4 linked regions of the Saccharomyces cerevisiae S288C genome follow. The gene in region 3 interacts genetically with the main gene of each other region. Each region holds a gene or a part of one and is shown on either strand. Other genes may lie near its edges.

Evidence for each region.
Region 1: mutations in STU2 (region 3) and MAD3 together harm fitness more than expected from each alone (negative genetic interaction), as found in Saccharomyces cerevisiae (3 studies listed by BioGRID, with this or other methods).
Region 2: mutations in STU2 (region 3) and MCD1 together harm fitness more than expected from each alone (negative genetic interaction), as found in Saccharomyces cerevisiae (2 studies listed by BioGRID).
Region 4: mutations in STU2 (region 3) and SNF6 together harm fitness more than expected from each alone (negative genetic interaction), as found in Saccharomyces cerevisiae (2 studies listed by BioGRID).

The regions. Positions count from the first base shown.
Region 1 is NC_001142.9:408,667-412,996, forward strand, and holds MAD3 (Mad3p), read right to left. Parts: upstream 2,375-4,330; coding exon 827-2,374; downstream 1-826. Other genes in the region: chaperonin-containing T-complex subunit CCT3, read left to right, coding at 1-496; VTC4 (Vtc4p), read right to left, coding at 2,568-4,330.
Region 2 is NC_001136.10:442,444-446,888, forward strand, and holds MCD1 (kleisin alpha), read left to right. Parts: upstream 1-2,239; coding exon 2,240-3,940; downstream 3,941-4,445. Other genes in the region: ATP16 (F1F0 ATP synthase subunit delta), read left to right, coding at 586-1,068. UniProt on the Saccharomyces cerevisiae protein: Cleavable component of the cohesin complex involved in chromosome cohesion during cell cycle. The cohesin complex is required for the cohesion of sister chromatids after DNA replication.
Region 3 is NC_001144.5:234,277-239,649, forward strand, and holds STU2 (Stu2p), read right to left. Parts: upstream 3,428-5,373; coding exon 761-3,427; downstream 1-760. Other genes in the region: YLR046C (uncharacterized protein), read right to left, coding at 3,725-4,537; FRE8 (putative ferric-chelate reductase), read right to left, coding at 5,071-5,373.
Region 4 is NC_001140.6:52,738-56,664, reverse strand, and holds SNF6 (Snf6p), read right to left. Parts: upstream 1,815-3,927; coding exon 816-1,814; downstream 1-815. Other genes in the region: RIM4 (Rim4p), read right to left, coding at 1-16; YHL026C (uncharacterized protein), read left to right, coding at 2,499-3,446; alkaline-responsive transcriptional regulator RIM101, read right to left, coding at 3,677-3,927. UniProt on the Saccharomyces cerevisiae protein: Involved in transcriptional activation. Component of the SWI/SNF complex, an ATP-dependent chromatin remodeling complex, which is required for the positive and negative regulation of gene expression of a large number of genes.

The sequences.
Region 1 (4,330 bases), on a different chromosome or scaffold from region 3:
CTGCAAGGAACCAAAAGCTTGTACCATAATGTTACGTGGTGGTTCCAAAGATATATTAAACGAAATAGATCGTAACCTACAAGATGCTATGGCTGTTGCTCGTAATGTGATGTTGAGTCCTTCCTTGTCCCCAGGTGGTGGTGCCACCGAGATGGCAGTTTCTGTCAAATTAGCAGAAAAGGCAAAGCAATTAGAAGGGATCCAGCAATGGCCATACCAAGCTGTAGCTGATGCTATGGAGTGTATTCCACGTACTTTGATACAAAATGCAGGTGGTGATCCTATTAGACTCCTATCCCAACTAAGAGCCAAACACGCACAGGGAAATTTTACAACAGGTATTGATGGTGACAAGGGGAAAATTGTAGATATGGTTAGTTACGGTATTTGGGAACCTGAAGTCATCAAGCAGCAAAGTGTCAAAACCGCTATTGAAAGTGCATGTTTACTATTAAGGGTTGATGATATTGTTAGTGGTGTAAGAAAACAAGAATAATAGCCTCGAGGTTAAACTTCATTACTGCCGTTTAATATTTGGTGTTTCTTCACATTTTTTTGTTTTTTTATACTATTGTAATGTATTTATATAGAATTAAAGTCCTCACTATAATTTTGTCATCCCTACAGTATGTCATAAGCGTTAATCGGACAAACGTTCATTTTAAAATTGGCCTTTTTATATTTATATTACTCCTCATAGGATTTAATATAGAAGTATCATTCGTTAAATAATCATTATATCATCTGTGCTTTAAATAAAAAAGTCGGCCGTCGATGTGTTTACGATTGGCCAGTATACTTACTCATTCATGGGATTAGTTTTATTTCAACGCTGTGGTGGGTACGATATGAAAGACGAACTCGACTTGTCATCATCTGAAATGATCTCAGAATTTTTGCTTTGAGAAAAAGAATTTGATTCTCTCATTTCTAAAATTGGGGTTAACTGCCGCGGCTTGACAGCTGAGATGATATCAGACGTCTCAGTGCTTCGTCCCTTTGGCGTCATAGGGCAGTTTATGTACTCTTCGCCAGAAAACATTCTTCCCTGGTTTGAGGGGGTCAACGACTTGGAGACTAAGGCTTTTCTACTTATTTTTGGTCTTTTCGATTGTGCTTCAGCTTCTTTTTGATTTGCGCTTTCTTCTTGCCCTAAATTTGCTTCTCTTGGATGTTTCCTATTTGTCCTAACCCTTTTATAAACGTTTCTAGAAATTGCCAAGACTTCTTCTAGCGAAAATTCTAGTCTACCACCTTTAGATTCCTCATCTTCACAATAAATCAGTTTAAAATTACAGTCAATTTTTTCTGGTTTCTGGTCCTTTGTATTAATCATTTGATAAACAGGGTCACTTCTACCTATAGAATCTCTAAAGATCGGTAGTTTTTCATCATATGGTCTCTTTTTTTGCGATAACATCTCATGTTGTTTAAGCTCACCCAAATTGGTATTTGCTTCTAGCAATGATATTCGAAGGTTGTTTTCTTTGTTCCTTTCTGCCTTTAAGTCAAAATTTTCCCAGCCATCTCTATAAACACCTCTATTCGGAGTTTCGAATAGTTCTACATCAGACTCTTCTCCATCTACAAATACGTTGTTTTTTGTTAAATTGACGTCACTTGATGTGCCATTTTGATTTGCAAGCTCTAGTCTATTGACAAATTCAGATCTGGTTTTCCCAAGTACTGTAGACTCTAATGAGTCCATCGATATTTCATTTCCTAGCTGAATATTGTTCTCCCCCAGTTCTCTCAGGAGATGGTTTAACCGGTCTTCTAAAACCTTATTAGGCCTAGCCTTATTTTTGATTCCTAGCTGTAGAATTTTCACGGCATATTGAAATTTTTCTTTCTGAATTAATAGATTCGTAAATTCTTCATAAAATGACGCTAACTCGGAACCAATTCCATTTCTTAACATATACATGAAAATGTCTCTGCTTTCCATGAATGAATTTCTGGTAAAAAGTTCTATGTACCAAAACCATATTTTAAGAAACCTAACATCATTGCGATATCTCTCCAAATCCTTTAAGTGAGATAAACATCGCTCCAAAAGGGTGAGCATTCCAGATTGTTTGGAATTACCGCCTTGTGGATAGGCGTTGTTCAGCCACTTTATGTATTCAAGATACAAAGTAATTGGGTCGCTTAATGCAGGGAGCTCATCTATCAGTCTTTGTTCGAAGCTTGATTTAACTTGGTTTATTTCCACCAGTGGTTGATGTATCGCTTTCGAGAGTGCCGCTGCTGATCTGCCTTCCTTCAGGGGAAGAATGTTTTCTTTTTGAGTTTCGATTTCTTCAAAGTTAATAACATTTTGTGATGGTGACGATGGCATGTAAGAGATACGTTTCTTTGCGTACGCTTTCATTCTATCAAGTTAACGTCTTTTATTGTATTTTCGCATGATTTTGTTTACTATTTTTGAACCAGTGTGCGCCTGGTGAAGGTGTGCATTTCAGGCAAGAGGGTAGTTCTCATATATAAAAAAATGGCGCTAAAGAAATTATTATATCTAATATGATTATTACTTAATTATACAGTAAAAAAAACACGCTGTGTATTCATTTAGCAACTAGGTTGCAGAAAAAGGAAAATAAAATAGAGAGAATTAGAAACACAGAAACCATGCCGGGCCCGATCTTATCCTCATAATCTACTGCTCTCTTTAGTCTAATGTTTACCACTCTCTTGGCATAAACCATAACAGTACGTATCAACACAGCCAAGGAAGTAATAAAGAACCCAATGGAGCCAATCATGGCTGTTGGTGAACCATATGTTAATAAAGTAGTGGAGACACCGCCCAACAATATCGAGATGGACAACCAAGACAGGTAGGTTCTTTCAGTGGCAAAGTAAACTTTTGGTTCCACACGAACTGGCACACATATCGTCTTTCCCGGTGGGGCACGAATTTGAGTATCAAAAGTAGTACCTTTTGGGATTTTAGATATTTGATCACCGTTAAAATAGTGGTCAAAAAATGCCACGATTTCATAGTATTTCTTGGAGATAGGATTTTCGGCATTCCTGATCTTTCTTTGATAATAAGCAGCATTAGCACTCTCAACAACATGATTAGTGTTGGAGGTGGGGGCCGAAGTAGCCCCGTAACCAACAGATTCTTCTATATCAAGAGAATTACCGGGTGCGTTTGTCATGGCAGCAACCAAAGCAGCGTCATCCTCATCATCCTCATCGAAGTCGTTATCTTCGTTATCGGATCTACCGGGTCTTGTTATTTCAATATTTGTTGGTAGTGGAGGTTTCCTGATATCAACATCCATTTGAGGTAACCAAAATGGGATTGAATCCACTTTATCATTTAGTAAGGTAGCCACACCATGAATAAACTTGGAGAATTTTGGGACTGGCTCAACTAAGTGAGACCCGACTAATTCACGTACCCACTCTGGAGGTTCTTGACCTAGTTGAGTTTGCAATTTAACTTCCAGGACTGCATATGGGAAACGGCAAATATCCTTGTCATCTAGCTGCTTGAATGGCCAATCGACACCAATATCAGTTCTCCTCCAATTCTTATGAGTTCTATCCACACCATCAAAGTTGTCTTCTCTCACCATAGTTAACTCTGTATCAAGGGAGATACGAACTCTTGCATCACCAGGTAATTGAAAAGCAGTTCTATTGTAGAATGATCTCACTACAGGTCTCAACTTTTTCTTTAACATGACGTATTGAATTTCGGATGCTAACGCCTCCAAGTTTTCAATTTCGTTCATTGGCTTCTTGCCTTCTTTACGCATCTTGGCAAATACTTGATCAACAGTATATTTACCCTTTAAGAAGTCATTAACATGACGTTCCTTTAGCGCAAATCTTGCCTTGACAGATTTCTCACCAGTCCAATCCTCTCTATGGGTCTTTCTTTCTACAAAGATCGTGTCTGTAGACATACCCCCATACCATCTCAATCTGTGGGCTTCTGCACCTTCATCTTTTCTTAATCTGCCATAATAAAGGTCTAGATTTTCATTATCAAAATAGATCGAAGTAATAGCGGAATCTTCTCTTTCGAATTCCTTATTAGTGTTGAAGACTAACACTGGTAAATGCTTCAAGATGATCAGCTTCAATTCTGTAATGTTATCAGGGTGAACCCAATACTTTGTTGTCTGTCTAACGAAATTTTGTTGCTTCCCACCAGCAGATGAGTCTCCCTTGATTGGGCGACCTGAAGTTCTGGCAATATCATATAGTTGGGAAATTTTAACGACTAGTTCGTCATAGTTTTCCTTGAAAAATGGTTTAGAGTCTAATCTAACTTGGAAAACTGGTTTCAAGATAAAACCTGTCTTCTTAT
Region 2 (4,445 bases), on a different chromosome or scaffold from region 3:
TGGAAACATTTAACTTTTCTCGTTACAAGCGGGTAATATCCTAATCATTGTAATTAAGACGTTGCTTCCCTGGGAAGAAAATAGTATAAACATAAGATATAATAGTTTTTAAAATGGTCAACGTATGCGATGCACAACTAAAAGGTACCAATTCATTAAATATTATAATATTTACTTCTTACTATTACACGAAAGACAAGTGTGAAATGCCTAGGAGATTGATGATTGACAAGCTCTGGCCTTGCAATAAAAATACTTATACACAACTTCAAATAATATAGAAAAGAAAGAAGACTATAAGCTAAAAATGTAGACAACCTCATTTAAATATTATTCTTAGGACTTGGTAATAATAGCTAATTTGTATATTATTCACCTCGGTCACCGCCTGTAATCACCTTTAACGAAAATAGATGCCCAGCCAATCAAAGCGCATTATGGAGTCGTCTAGGAAGGGGCCGTCCCATCATTGTAAAAGTTCATGTTAAATTAGATGGAGGATAACAATAAAGGTATCGTACACACACTGCTAAAAGAGCCTCAATCAATTTGTGAAGGTATAACTGTAGCCGTGAGGATAGGAAAATGTTACGTTCAATTATTGGAAAGAGTGCATCAAGATCATTGAATTTCGTCGCTAAGCGTTCATATGCAGAAGCTGCTGCCGCATCATCAGGTTTGAAGTTACAATTTGCTCTACCACACGAAACTTTATATAGTGGCTCCGAAGTTACTCAAGTGAACCTGCCTGCTAAGTCAGGACGTATTGGTGTATTGGCCAACCATGTTCCCACCGTTGAACAATTACTACCAGGTGTCGTTGAAGTTATGGAAGGCTCTAACTCTAAAAAATTCTTTATATCAGGTGGATTTGCAACAGTTCAACCAGACTCGCAGTTATGTGTAACTGCAATTGAAGCTTTTCCATTGGAATCCTTTTCACAAGAAAATATAAAAAATTTGTTGGCAGAAGCTAAGAAGAACGTTAGTTCATCTGATGCCAGGGAAGCCGCAGAAGCTGCAATTCAAGTAGAAGTTTTAGAAAACCTACAATCCGTATTGAAATAGCGTTTTTATGGTACGCATTCTAGAACTTGAGGGGAAGAAGTCTACGTTTTTAAGTGTTGACAAGCAATTCGCTTGAAAGCGCCAAAATTCATTGTTTGTTCTACTCGAATTTAAGTTTCCATTTTGGTTGATGTCTTAAGTATACAGAGAAACCGTTTATTAGCGTATATATACAGAAAATTTTATTATTTTATATTCAAAAACAAGAAAACAAAAGAGAAAACATTAACATGTAATTTTCATAACTAATAGTCCTAGAAAGTAATACTTTTTACAACTGTTTCTTTAAATCCTGTATGAAAGCCCTAGTTGCAGATCATCGTGTTATTCCAGTGAGTTTTCACTTCCCTAAGTCCTTCCTATTTATGTTTTAGTCCTTCTTGCACAGCAATTTTACTTCGGGCACTGTTGCCGTATATTCTAAAAAAATGAAAAAAACGTTCATGCCCCAGCGAAAACCAGTGTTTCCTCGTATTCGTGTCAGTAATTACACCAAAGTTTGTTCTACACTAAATCACGAATAAAGTGGGAGATTGAGTTCAACAAAATATCTGATTATAAAAGTATGAGAACAAGAAAATTAAGGAGCCTCCATAATAAGGTGCTTTTAATTGAGAATGAATGTTCATTAGTTGCTATATTGATGGTGATGGAACTCCAATTACCTAATCAAAAATATGAATGTTTATGCGAATAAGAGTTTGTAAAGAAAAAGATCCCTGTAGACTGGATGTGAGATGATGATTTCATTCCCGGCCTCTTAAATAAAAACAATTACCACTGCAAAAATGTTCTTCAAACGCGTTTATTATATAATGAAAAAGAAATTCAAATTTTTCGCGTTTGAAAATTTATGCTAAACAAATAACTCGAGGAGGGACGCGTCGAGAAAATCGCGTCTTTCTACTCTCACAGTGCTTGCATACGTATGGTATACAGTATCAAAAGTAGCAGAATTTGTCTTCATTATGATATATATATATATATGTACATATATATAGGGTGCTAAAAAGTATTCTTTTTGCTATTATTATTGCTTAAATCGCCGACCTTTTTCCCATTGTCACGAGAACATAATTGTTAAACCAATAAAAGGAAAATCCATAACAAAAAAGGACTGGTCAAAGAAAAGACAACTCAATTGCACAATTACTTTACAAGAAACACGACAATGGTTACAGAAAATCCTCAACGTCTTACTGTTTTAAGACTTGCCACCAATAAGGGTCCATTAGCACAAATATGGCTTGCTTCAAATATGTCGAATATACCAAGAGGATCGGTTATCCAAACACATATTGCTGAATCAGCAAAGGAAATTGCAAAAGCTTCTGGCTGTGATGACGAATCAGGGGACAATGAATACATAACTTTACGAACATCTGGCGAATTACTTCAAGGCATTGTTCGTGTATATTCCAAACAGGCCACTTTTCTCCTTACAGATATAAAGGACACATTAACGAAGATAAGTATGTTATTTAAAACAAGCCAGAAGATGACTTCTACAGTAAACAGACTGAACACTGTAACAAGGGTTCATCAATTGATGTTAGAAGATGCCGTTACAGAAAGAGAAGTTTTGGTCACCCCAGGGTTAGAGTTCTTAGATGATACTACTATACCAGTGGGCTTAATGGCGCAGGAGAATTCGATGGAAAGAAAAGTCCAAGGTGCTGCTCCCTGGGATACTTCACTTGAGGTCGGTAGACGATTCAGTCCAGATGAAGATTTCGAACATAATAATTTGTCTAGTATGAACCTTGATTTTGACATCGAGGAAGGTCCGATAACTTCAAAATCTTGGGAAGAAGGAACAAGACAAAGCTCACGCAACTTTGATACGCACGAAAATTACATACAAGATGACGATTTCCCTCTTGATGATGCTGGAACTATTGGTTGGGATCTAGGGATTACCGAAAAAAATGACCAGAACAACGATGATGACGATAACTCTGTTGAGCAAGGAAGAAGGCTAGGTGAATCAATCATGTCTGAGGAGCCTACGGATTTTGGATTTGATCTGGATATAGAAAAAGAAGCACCCGCAGGCAATATAGATACGATAACCGATGCCATGACAGAATCACAGCCAAAACAAACTGGCACAAGAAGGAACTCAAAATTACTGAATACCAAAAGTATTCAAATCGATGAAGAAACAGAAAATTCAGAAAGCATAGCTTCATCCAATACATACAAAGAGGAGAGATCGAATAATTTATTGACTCCACAGCCCACCAATTTTACGACTAAAAGATTATGGAGTGAAATAACTGAAAGTATGTCCTATTTACCAGATCCAATCCTTAAGAACTTCTTATCCTACGAATCTCTAAAAAAAAGAAAAATACATAATGGGCGAGAAGGGTCAATTGAAGAACCTGAGTTAAACGTGTCGCTTAATCTTACCGACGATGTAATTAGTAATGCGGGAACAAACGATAACTCCTTCAATGAACTGACCGATAACATGTCAGACTTCGTACCAATTGATGCTGGCTTAAATGAGGCTCCTTTTCCTGAAGAGAATATCATCGACGCAAAGACTAGAAATGAGCAAACTACCATCCAAACTGAAAAAGTTCGTCCTACTCCCGGTGAGGTGGCTTCTAAAGCTATTGTTCAAATGGCGAAGATTTTAAGGAAGGAATTAAGCGAAGAAAAAGAAGTAATATTCACGGATGTACTAAAAAGTCAAGCAAATACAGAACCAGAAAATATTACTAAAAGAGAAGCCAGTAGAGGATTTTTCGATATTTTATCACTTGCTACAGAAGGATGTATTGGTTTGAGTCAAACAGAAGCATTCGGAAATATTAAAATAGACGCCAAACCTGCACTATTTGAAAGGTTTATCAATGCTTAAAACCTAGTTACGCCGAGGGGATTTCTTGGTGGACCCAATAAGCTGATGCATATATAGATCAAAGACTTTAATTTATAAAATTGTCAATATTTAATATTAATATTCACAAAATACGATAAAATTCAAACTAATGCGGTAGAGCCACTACTGGCCGCAAGGCAGAATGATCTTGGCAACTCTACACGCTGGTGCATGGGTAGTATTTATTCTAAAACTTGCTGTATTATTTTGAATAGTGATATTAGGAATCGTCTGCCCACGTACACCGGTGAAGCCGAAATTTTCTCATGGAAACCTTGGGAATAGAAGAAAGGTCCATTGTAAGTGCTACATACTGACCATCTTACATAATCTTACACAACCCTGGTAATAAAGCCACGTCTAGAAAGTTTTCCAGGCCAAACAATCTTCTTTTCCATTAGCTTTGGTACATTAGCAGCCAGAGGAAACATTATGCAGTTTTTAAAGGCTCAACTTTTTATCTAATATACAAAACAATAAAGTT
Region 3 (5,373 bases):
ATCACCATAAGCTGATTCAAATGAGCTAAAAAAAAAATAGTTAGAAAATAAGGTGGTGTTGAACGATAGCAAGTAGATCAAGACACCGTCTAACAGAAAAAGGGGCAGCGGACAATATTATGCAATTATGAAGAAAAGTACTCAAAGGGTCGGAAAAATATTCAAACGATATTTGCATAAAATCCTCAATTGATTGATTATTCCATAGTAAAATACCGTAACAACACAAAATTGTTCTCAAATTCATAAATTATTCATTTTTTCCACGAGCCTCATCACACGAAAAGTCAGAAGAGCATACATAATCTTTTAAATGCATAGGTTATGCATTTTGCAAATGCCACCAGGCAACAAAAATATGCGTTTAGCGGGCGGAATCGGGAAGGAAGCCGGAACCACCAAAAACTGGAAGCTACGTTTTTAAGGAAGGTATGGGTGCAGTGTGCTTATCTCAAGAAATATTAGTTATGATATAAGGTGTTGAAGTTTAGAGATAGGTAAATAAACGCGGGGTGTGTTTATTACATGAAGAAGAAGTTAGTTTCTGCCTTGCTTGTTTATCTTGCACATCACATCAGCGGAACATATGCTCACCCAGTCGCATGTTGTTACCCTCATGAAACATGTATGAGATATTACTTTGAATAGGTTACTTGCATGCATTTCGGCGTGCGGGTACCACCTCTTTGCATGAGCTTGTTCCTTTTTCAAGTTGAAGACTATATATTTTATTGAGTTTATGTTATGGGGAGGCTACCCTTTACGTCCTGGTTGTCCCTTCCCGCCTTGATTTGGCCTTCATTTTTTCAATTCTGGCCTTTAGGGTAGATGTCACTGCAGCGGCACGTTTATAACTTTCTTCTGAGGCAAAACTATCGTTGAAATCGATATCCAAATCGTCGGAGACACTGCTCACTCCAGTGCCGTTTTTTCTGTACGGCCGTATGTTAAGAGAGTTTACGCGGTGCGGCAGGTCGCCGATGGACTCGCTTGATCTTCTTTCATAGTTGACGTCCTCTTTCCTTCTGACATCTTCCTCCTCCTTAAATGGCAAAGCGGAAGATAAAGATTTTACCCCATAGTTGCTTGACACGGTGGAAGAAGGTATGGAGTATGATGAAATCGTACCCATCGATTGCAAGTTTGTATCATTTCTTTTCTTATTTCTATCCAATTCGATCTCCATGTTTCTAAGCTCGTTTTCTAGTGACAGTACTCTATCAGACAGCTTATTGACATCAATCTCCTTGGATCTTAATTGAATGTTCTTTTCGTTCAATTTAGACTGCGCTTCCTTTAGTTGCTCTCTTAGCATTTCGTTTTCTTTAATCATTTCGATCTTATAATTTTCTGTATTATTCATCTTTTCCAATAGGCTTTGTCTTTCTTTGGTCCATATCATCTCATCATTTTGTAGTTTTTGCAGTCTGTACTTGTATTCTTCAATCAACTTTTCATTCTTGTCAGTGCTATTAGCTACTACGTTTTTTGGCGTTGCCAAAGACTTAGACGTCAACAGGACCCTCGATTTATTGTTAGCAGCTACCATTGATGGTTTTGATGCGGAGGCTACTGACCCTATTGGGTTCACTTTACTTTTGTTATCATTTCTCAGCGGTGAAGATGCCACTCTCTTGGAGGGAAGTACAGAACTTTTTTTCAGGAGAAATTTATTCTCCATTGGCCCAGTTTGTTTATTCGTTTCAATAGTGCTATGGGTACTACCACTTGCAATACTGAAATTAGGTAGAGTTTTGACCGTTTCTTCAATTTTTTTCCTTTTCAAATTATCCAAGTGCTCTAATGTTTTCACAAAGGTATTCATGCCAAATATTTTAATTAGAATGGCGAAACTCTCAAATCCAATAGTTCTTATAGCAGGTTGGGTGTCGTTGACGATCTGAATCACAATTGGTACCACTTCATCCTTCAAGTATCTTTGCAGGGTCGAGTATCCATCTTTTTCTTCTTTCATGCTTGCATTAAACAATTGCGTACACTCCATTCTGATTTGAGGTGTCTTGTGCTTCATATGCTCCAAAATATCTTTCAACATATCTTCATTGCGTCCACTGGAGGCTAATGGATCGTAATACTTGCAGATGGTTAATAATGCCTTCCTAATGGCCTCTATCACAGAAGGTTTCTTTTCCTTTGTCCTGTCTAACAAGGGAGTGAAGACTAGTGAAACATAATCCTTGGAAAAGCCTGGTGTTTTTAGTTTGTCGCAGATTAATTCTACTGATTGAGCGGCTAGTGCAACAGCTTGAATGTTTGCATCTTTCTGGATAATATGGCCATATATCCCCAATAAGTTGGAATAATTTTGCGAGGTGCTTTTTAACTTCTTAGTCTGCGATAGAACACTATCCCAAAATTCTTCCAGCGCTTCCACTCTATCTTTCCATTTGGACGACGTTATCCTTTCCTGGAAGTCCTTAGGCAGTTTATCGAGGATCGTCTCCTCCGGTAGCATACTGAAGGTGTCTATTTGAACTCCACTTTGCTGTTTTGATGGTGGCATATCCGTTTCCATCCCCATCAATGTATCTCCATCCTTATCTATCTGATATTCCCCCTCATCATTCGATAATATGGACTTTCTTTTCCTGGCTTCCTCCTCTTGGCTTCTTTTCTTTTCCAATTCTCTTTTCTCCCACTCGAATAACATTTTCGATGACGATGGCTCGTCACCAACTTTTGCAAACAATTTATGAAGATCTTTCACTTGAATTGGTTTTAATTTTTTAAACAGTATCTCCTCTAACAAGTCGCTATTGTTGCCCGTAACCTTATAGATCTCGACAATCAAATTCATCGTTTGTGATCGAACGTTTCTATCACCATGACCGGCTAGTTGAGGTACGTGCTTTAATAATTCTGGTAGAAACGTTTGAACGTTCACATTAGTGAGCCCGAATGCAGCCATCAACTCATAAACACAATTGGCTGCCGCAGCAATTAATTTTGGCAGTTTTTTCTCGAAAAAGGGTATTACCAATTCCACCGATTGCGTAATAGATGTATCAAGACCACATAGTGAGAGTATACAGCTCATCGACTGCGTCTTCGTTGTAGCCCTTGAGGACGTTAAGCCCTTTTCCACAAGCAATGGTGTCCATGTTGATATTAAAGTAATATTATGTGCATTTTTCAAAGACGATGACGCAAAGGCATCTATTAAACTATTCAAGGCAACAATGGCTTGTTCTTGAGCGACCACATTAGAATCAGTTATATATTGTGCAAATAATGTAGGATCCCTCCAGTAAATTTGTATGTTGTCATCCCTACTGATGTCGCCAACGGAGTTTCTAAAAAGCTGGTTTAACTCCTTATAAGCTTCTAAACGTGCCTTCCATAACTTGTACGTTAATCGCTCTTCTAGGGGTAACGTTGTATAATCTACTTCTTCTTCTCCTGACATAGTCAACTTCAAACTCTTTAATAAAAACTCAAAAATACTTTACACTGTAAAGATAGCTGTTTCTTTGTAGTTTAGTAATGCTATTTGGTCCCTAGGTCTGGTAGGTTCTTCATTTACTCTTCCTATGGAGTGTCAAGCAGACAAAACAAAAACAAAAACAAAAACAAAAACGACACGAAAAAAAATAGATTCGTTAACCATGATAATCTTTGCACCATATAAAGGAAAAGACAAGATTGACTTCTAATGCCCAGCACAAATATTATCCAACTATTTAATTAATAAATTTTTGACTACTTAATCTTCAGACACAGATTCCTTGTCTAATAATTTGTTTAATTGAATATTGACAGATTTATCCTGCAGCTTGAACAAATTTCTTGCGCGAAAGGTTGCTAGGAAAATCAAAGGTAGTAAAAACATTAGAACTGTATCGAAAACGTAAAGGCACCATTCGTGCTGACCTATATAGCTTTGTAAGCCCATTAGAAATTGTACTACTCTGACAATGGTTCTACCATTAACCAGCAATATCCCAGCTAAAAGTATAAAATTGTACTGGAACCATTCATTACTATCCCGCACAATTTTACTAGGCGTTGCCTTCATTTTATAGTGAAGAAAAAGTTGACTGAACGTTAAAAAGGTATAACAAAATATCTGAATGAAAAGACCCACAATAATTAGGATACGCCCAGTATTCCTGCTGTTCCATGAGGATAACAACCCACCTCCTACAGCCTGTAGGACACGCCCAATCATATCTGCCACTACGAAAGAAACTGTACTAAATTTCGCAGGAATTAACATATATGCCTCCATAAGAATTAGACGTGCCATTTTGCTGAACAACATAAAAATACTAAGGGCGTAAAGTGAAGGTGCTATCAATAGAAGCACCGATTGAGCAATGAAAGTCGAAATCGAGGGGCTATTGATAAAGACTATTTTCAACACATAACCCACGAACTCTAAACAAATCCCTAAAACGAAAGGAAAATGTGTCCACATCAAACCGCGGGCAGGAAAGTATATTATTGTGGAATTTTCCTCTGACAACTCATTGTTTTCCCAGCGATGAATACGTCTCTTGCTCGTGTGTGTTGCCATTATGATCTGCACCAAGGCAGAAAGGATTAAAATGCCAAACAGAACGACAAATGCAATCGCTGCACCTTTGTGAGGATTGTATGCATAAAAACCTTCATAATCAGTGATTGCTTTAGTAAAAAAATTCCTATTGAGGCAGTTGAGTTCTTTTATCGACAATAAGTCTCTAGTACAGTAGTGAGAGTGTCATGTATTCAGTACCAAGAAGAACTTATATGCCTTTTATAATTCATCTTATAAGTTGCTAGACATACAAATAATCAATATGGAAATGTGCTTATTCCCGCTAATATCCATTAATATCCGCTGTCATTTTTCGCAACTATCACCAAGTGGAGAGAGGCTTGACAACCACCAGAAAAAAACTAAATCAGCCTGCGGAACTTTTCTCGGAAAAAATCAGTTAGAAAAGATCGTACATAGGGCCCTTTTTTGACAGTAAGATTAAAGAGCAAAACGGGACATTATAGATATGCCACCATCAAATACGTGAATTTTCCAAGCCTCATAAACTAATAGCCAACTTGCAACTCTTATAATGCAAAACTTTCTCCGTGAAAGTGTAAACCACCATCTGTCGCCCATCTTTTGGTGCTTTCAATTAAGCCTCTAGGGCCTGCAGCGAGAACCCATACTTGTGACAAATATTCAGCATGGTCTCTGCCTTGATTCGCCCACCTGCAACATTGAATAGAATCCGTCTCTGCATCACATTCGGTTTGCAGACACCATTCATAATCCTTATCTCCAAGTGTAGGCCTGCCAAAGAACACTTTAACACCTGCGGGAATTCTGATCTTTTTAGGCGCCGCCTCTAAACAAGGATCTTGGGCAGG
Region 4 (3,927 bases), on a different chromosome or scaffold from region 3:
TGATTTCGGTTTTCATGTTTCAACAAGCTAAAAAAGATAATATTTTTTTCTTTCTTTCTTCTTGAGCAGGCAAAAAACAAACAATAGAGAGTATGTATATAAATATATATAGGAATGCAATTAGATATTTTTTCTTCGTGATTTTCTAGTCCAAAATCGCCTTCTCCTTCTTGTTCTTTTATTGTTTTAACTAATTAAGGAAAACAACCAAGCACGAGAAAGGGAGAGAGAAAGGAAGAGAGAAAACAAATAAGAAATCCGACGAACTTATATACTATTTTCCTTGATCACAGCCGCCGAAACGTTAAGCGGGGATATAGAGTTTCATCGTGTTGTTTGCCACCCGTTATGGGCGGCTAATCAAACGGAATTTAGCTTAGTCCATGCCAAAAACGTCTTTAATCTACAGAAATCGTGTTGCATGATCCACAGTAAACGCACAGGAGGTTTTTTTTTTTCGGAGATAGGTCGTACTGCTTTTTCACTGGAGGAGAATGCAAGGGAAATGAGGCGGTGTTTACGACTGGCACATCTCGAGCCTTTCTTCGCGTCAGAGAGATGTGGGCCCCCGGAGCAAGGGGGTAACAACAGACCCTACACATTCAGTCAGCGCGCCACATCAACCAACGAATGAATTGTTTTGCAGGCACTGCTTCCTATAAGCAGTAGCTGCACAAATCCACTATGTCACAAGGAATACACAGAAAACAGTGAAGGGTCTATCTGATCTTACCTCCATACACATCCACATGTATAACTATACTAAATATGTAAAAGGAAAGTATATATTTCCAAGAAGTAGCCGCCCATGGCTATTAAAAAAATACAGCATCAAGATCTCCAAATTCATCGTCGAAATTGGTGTTGAACGGCTCATTGGAATAATCTCCGAACATGTTCTCCAGTGGGTCGTCAACCACGGCGGGTACTGGCTCCTTTTCCGTTGCAGTTGCATGAGGACTTTGCGAGGCAACTGTAGTCACTACTTGTTGCTGTTGCTGCAAATCTTGCTGCTGTTGCTGCTGCAAGCTGGCTTCGTCCTGTGCTTCACCTGCAGTTACTTCCTTCTGCCTGATACGCTCCTTGGCCTCGTGGTATTGCGCCAAAACATCCCTATAAGCATGCGTCCAGTAGTCCGCCGGCGCTTCGCGGAGATCTCCGCGGAGTTTACCCACCAGCGCAGGATCGTCACGATGTACGACCACGCCGTCCGGCTGGTACCTCAAATGACTATCTTGCTCGAAGACAGCATCTATCATATCCTTTGTGCTACGGCTTCCGTCCTCTGCCGCAGCTATAAGTTTTGTGTATTTAAGTGGCGTCAGAGGCTTTTCTTGCAACTCTGCCGCTTGTGTTTTCATTTCGTGTTGTTTTTGCATGAGATATCTTATTGTTTTTTCACTGAACAATCTGGACTTCTCAATTCTGTCGCACGGTACCGTGGTCAAACTCAGCATGTTAAATGCGTCGTTCGAGCTTATAAAGTTCTTCAAAAGGTTGGATCGGAACGATATCGTGTCGCTCTCGTCATGTATGATATTGCTGAGCTGTTCTGGTCTAAGTCGTACACGTTCGAAGTCCTGTCTTTGCTTATTAAGCTGTTGCTGCGCGTACGTAAGCGATCTGCCATTCATGCCGGCACTGGAGCCGCTGTATCCGTACTGATAGTTGTTTTCCTCCGCGAAGCTCGTCAACGACGGGATGTTATTGTTTATGGCGCCCATGCTGCCTACTCCCCCAACCTGTACCCCAGAGTAGTATTGTTGGCGCGAAGCCTTTCCATGGTGCGATCTTTTCTTCTTGATGACACCCATTATTTTACTACGTTTGTAAAATTCTCTTAAACGCTTTTCTTTCGCCTTTTTCGCCTTTAGCCTCCCCTTTCTGGATCAAACCTTGTTTCGTTGCTTCTCAACTTCATGTTTTTTCTCTCCCATCTTTTCCTTTGGATTTTCCGCGTGTGTTTTCTGACCGTTTGACGGAACAACCGTGGTGCATGACCGAACGTAGACCAACACATTGTGAGAACCTGTATGGTCCAGCCGCTGCCAACTAACCTGATAAATGAAGCACGTCGGCTACAAACGACGCATGTGCCTCTTTATGCCCTGCTTGTTCCAGTATTCGCATTCGTTTACTTACTTTTCTTGTTTGGATCTTGCCATTTTCGGTAATGTAATTGATTTTCACGGATAAGTTTACTTTTTTCTTTGCGGTTTTTCCCGCTTTCCTGATTCAATACTCTTCCTACACAAAAGTGGAAAAAAACAGGAAAAAAAAATAGTGCAGTCCACACTAGCATCACCTCCATCGCATTCCTTCATTGATATTTGCTGTATACGATTTGCATCGGCTTTTGAAAGATATAGTTTATCTGTCCTTGATCTAAAACCAATTTCTCCTCTTTCTTTCTTCAAGATGTTATAACCTTCCACCGGCACACATATATACGGATATATATGCATCAACACCCTTGAAAATAGACGCTCTTCACATATATGAAATCCTCAGAGCCAGCGCCAGCGACCCCGACCGGGTTCAGAAATTCCATCTGGTTCATCATCTTCTACCTTTTCGTCATCCAAGCGCTAGGTTCTGCAATAATCTCGGGCGGCATCGAGTTTGCCATCGCATATGCCATGTACCATTCCCGTGTAGATCTTATCACCTTATGGGCATTTCCTCACACCATTTCAGGCGATTGTGCACTAAGTTTATTCATCCAGGTGGGTCTTACATGGGCTAGCGAGGAAATTTTAGTTGGATTCGATGACTACAAGAGGCCTGTTTTCAGATTGAATAAATGGATTACGAAACCGTCACCACTGAAAACCGAATCTAACGAAGAAATACCACCCCCTAAAAAGCGTTTCATTGTGGATTACTTCGAATCCAAAGACAACGTCGTTGCGAAGCAGAACACTCTGTATCATAAGCATAATTGGCTCTTTGGCTATTTAGAGGTCAATAGAGGAATCATTCCCAAAGGTAAAGAAGCTACGTTGAAAGGTTTTCTCACATCTCAGTTCATTCATGATTCTACTCAGTCCAAATTCATGAACTTTATAGAATGGTTTGTGCAGAAATTCATCAGATCTATGATCCTAGCCATTGCCATGTTCATTGTCATTTGGCCAGTCACTATGGGTATCCTTGCTGGTATAGGCCATAAGGTCGGGTCCCACGACTACTACTTCAACGATTATCCACTACCGCAGGTCATGAAGTTGATTTATGCCGTTGTAATTGCCTTTGTATGCACTCCAGTGGCCATCATCGTCATTGTGTTGAGAAACCAGTTTCACGAGGAACTTTACTATGAAGGCTTAGCAAACGGTACGCTACAGCAGGATCAAGAAGTTTGCTCCACGGGTAATCGCAGCTCGGGATCAACCGATCAAGATATCAGTACTACCAAACAACAGTCTCAAGAAGCGGTAGCGTGAAGAAAAGCAACAAAAAAATAAAAGCATGTGCGAACTCTAGTTTAATACTTAATAAACTATTAATACTTTACAATTAGCAATCTATAATATACCCACCTTAACAAATAATTTTTCCTTTAACCATTGTTACCTTGTTTAATCCGCGACGCCGCGCTAGGGCATGTGTGATTTATTCATTTACTATACAGCCGCAAAGAAACAACTAAGAATAAAATATCCGACAATCCATATCATACCAAAATTTTGGGATACTTGGTCAAGATGCGAACTGAGTTAGTTCCCATTTGGTTTTGTAAACTCAATTTTTCTAAAGATTCTTGCAAGAATGCGTTTTCTTCATCTTTGTCCTCACTTTCTTCATCATCTAAATCTTCCATGACACAGCACAACAAGTAGTCCTTGATAATGTTCACTATACCCAACATCTCTACGAAATCATCCTCTATCTCGCTTTCGTCATCTACTTCTTCAATCGCCAGCT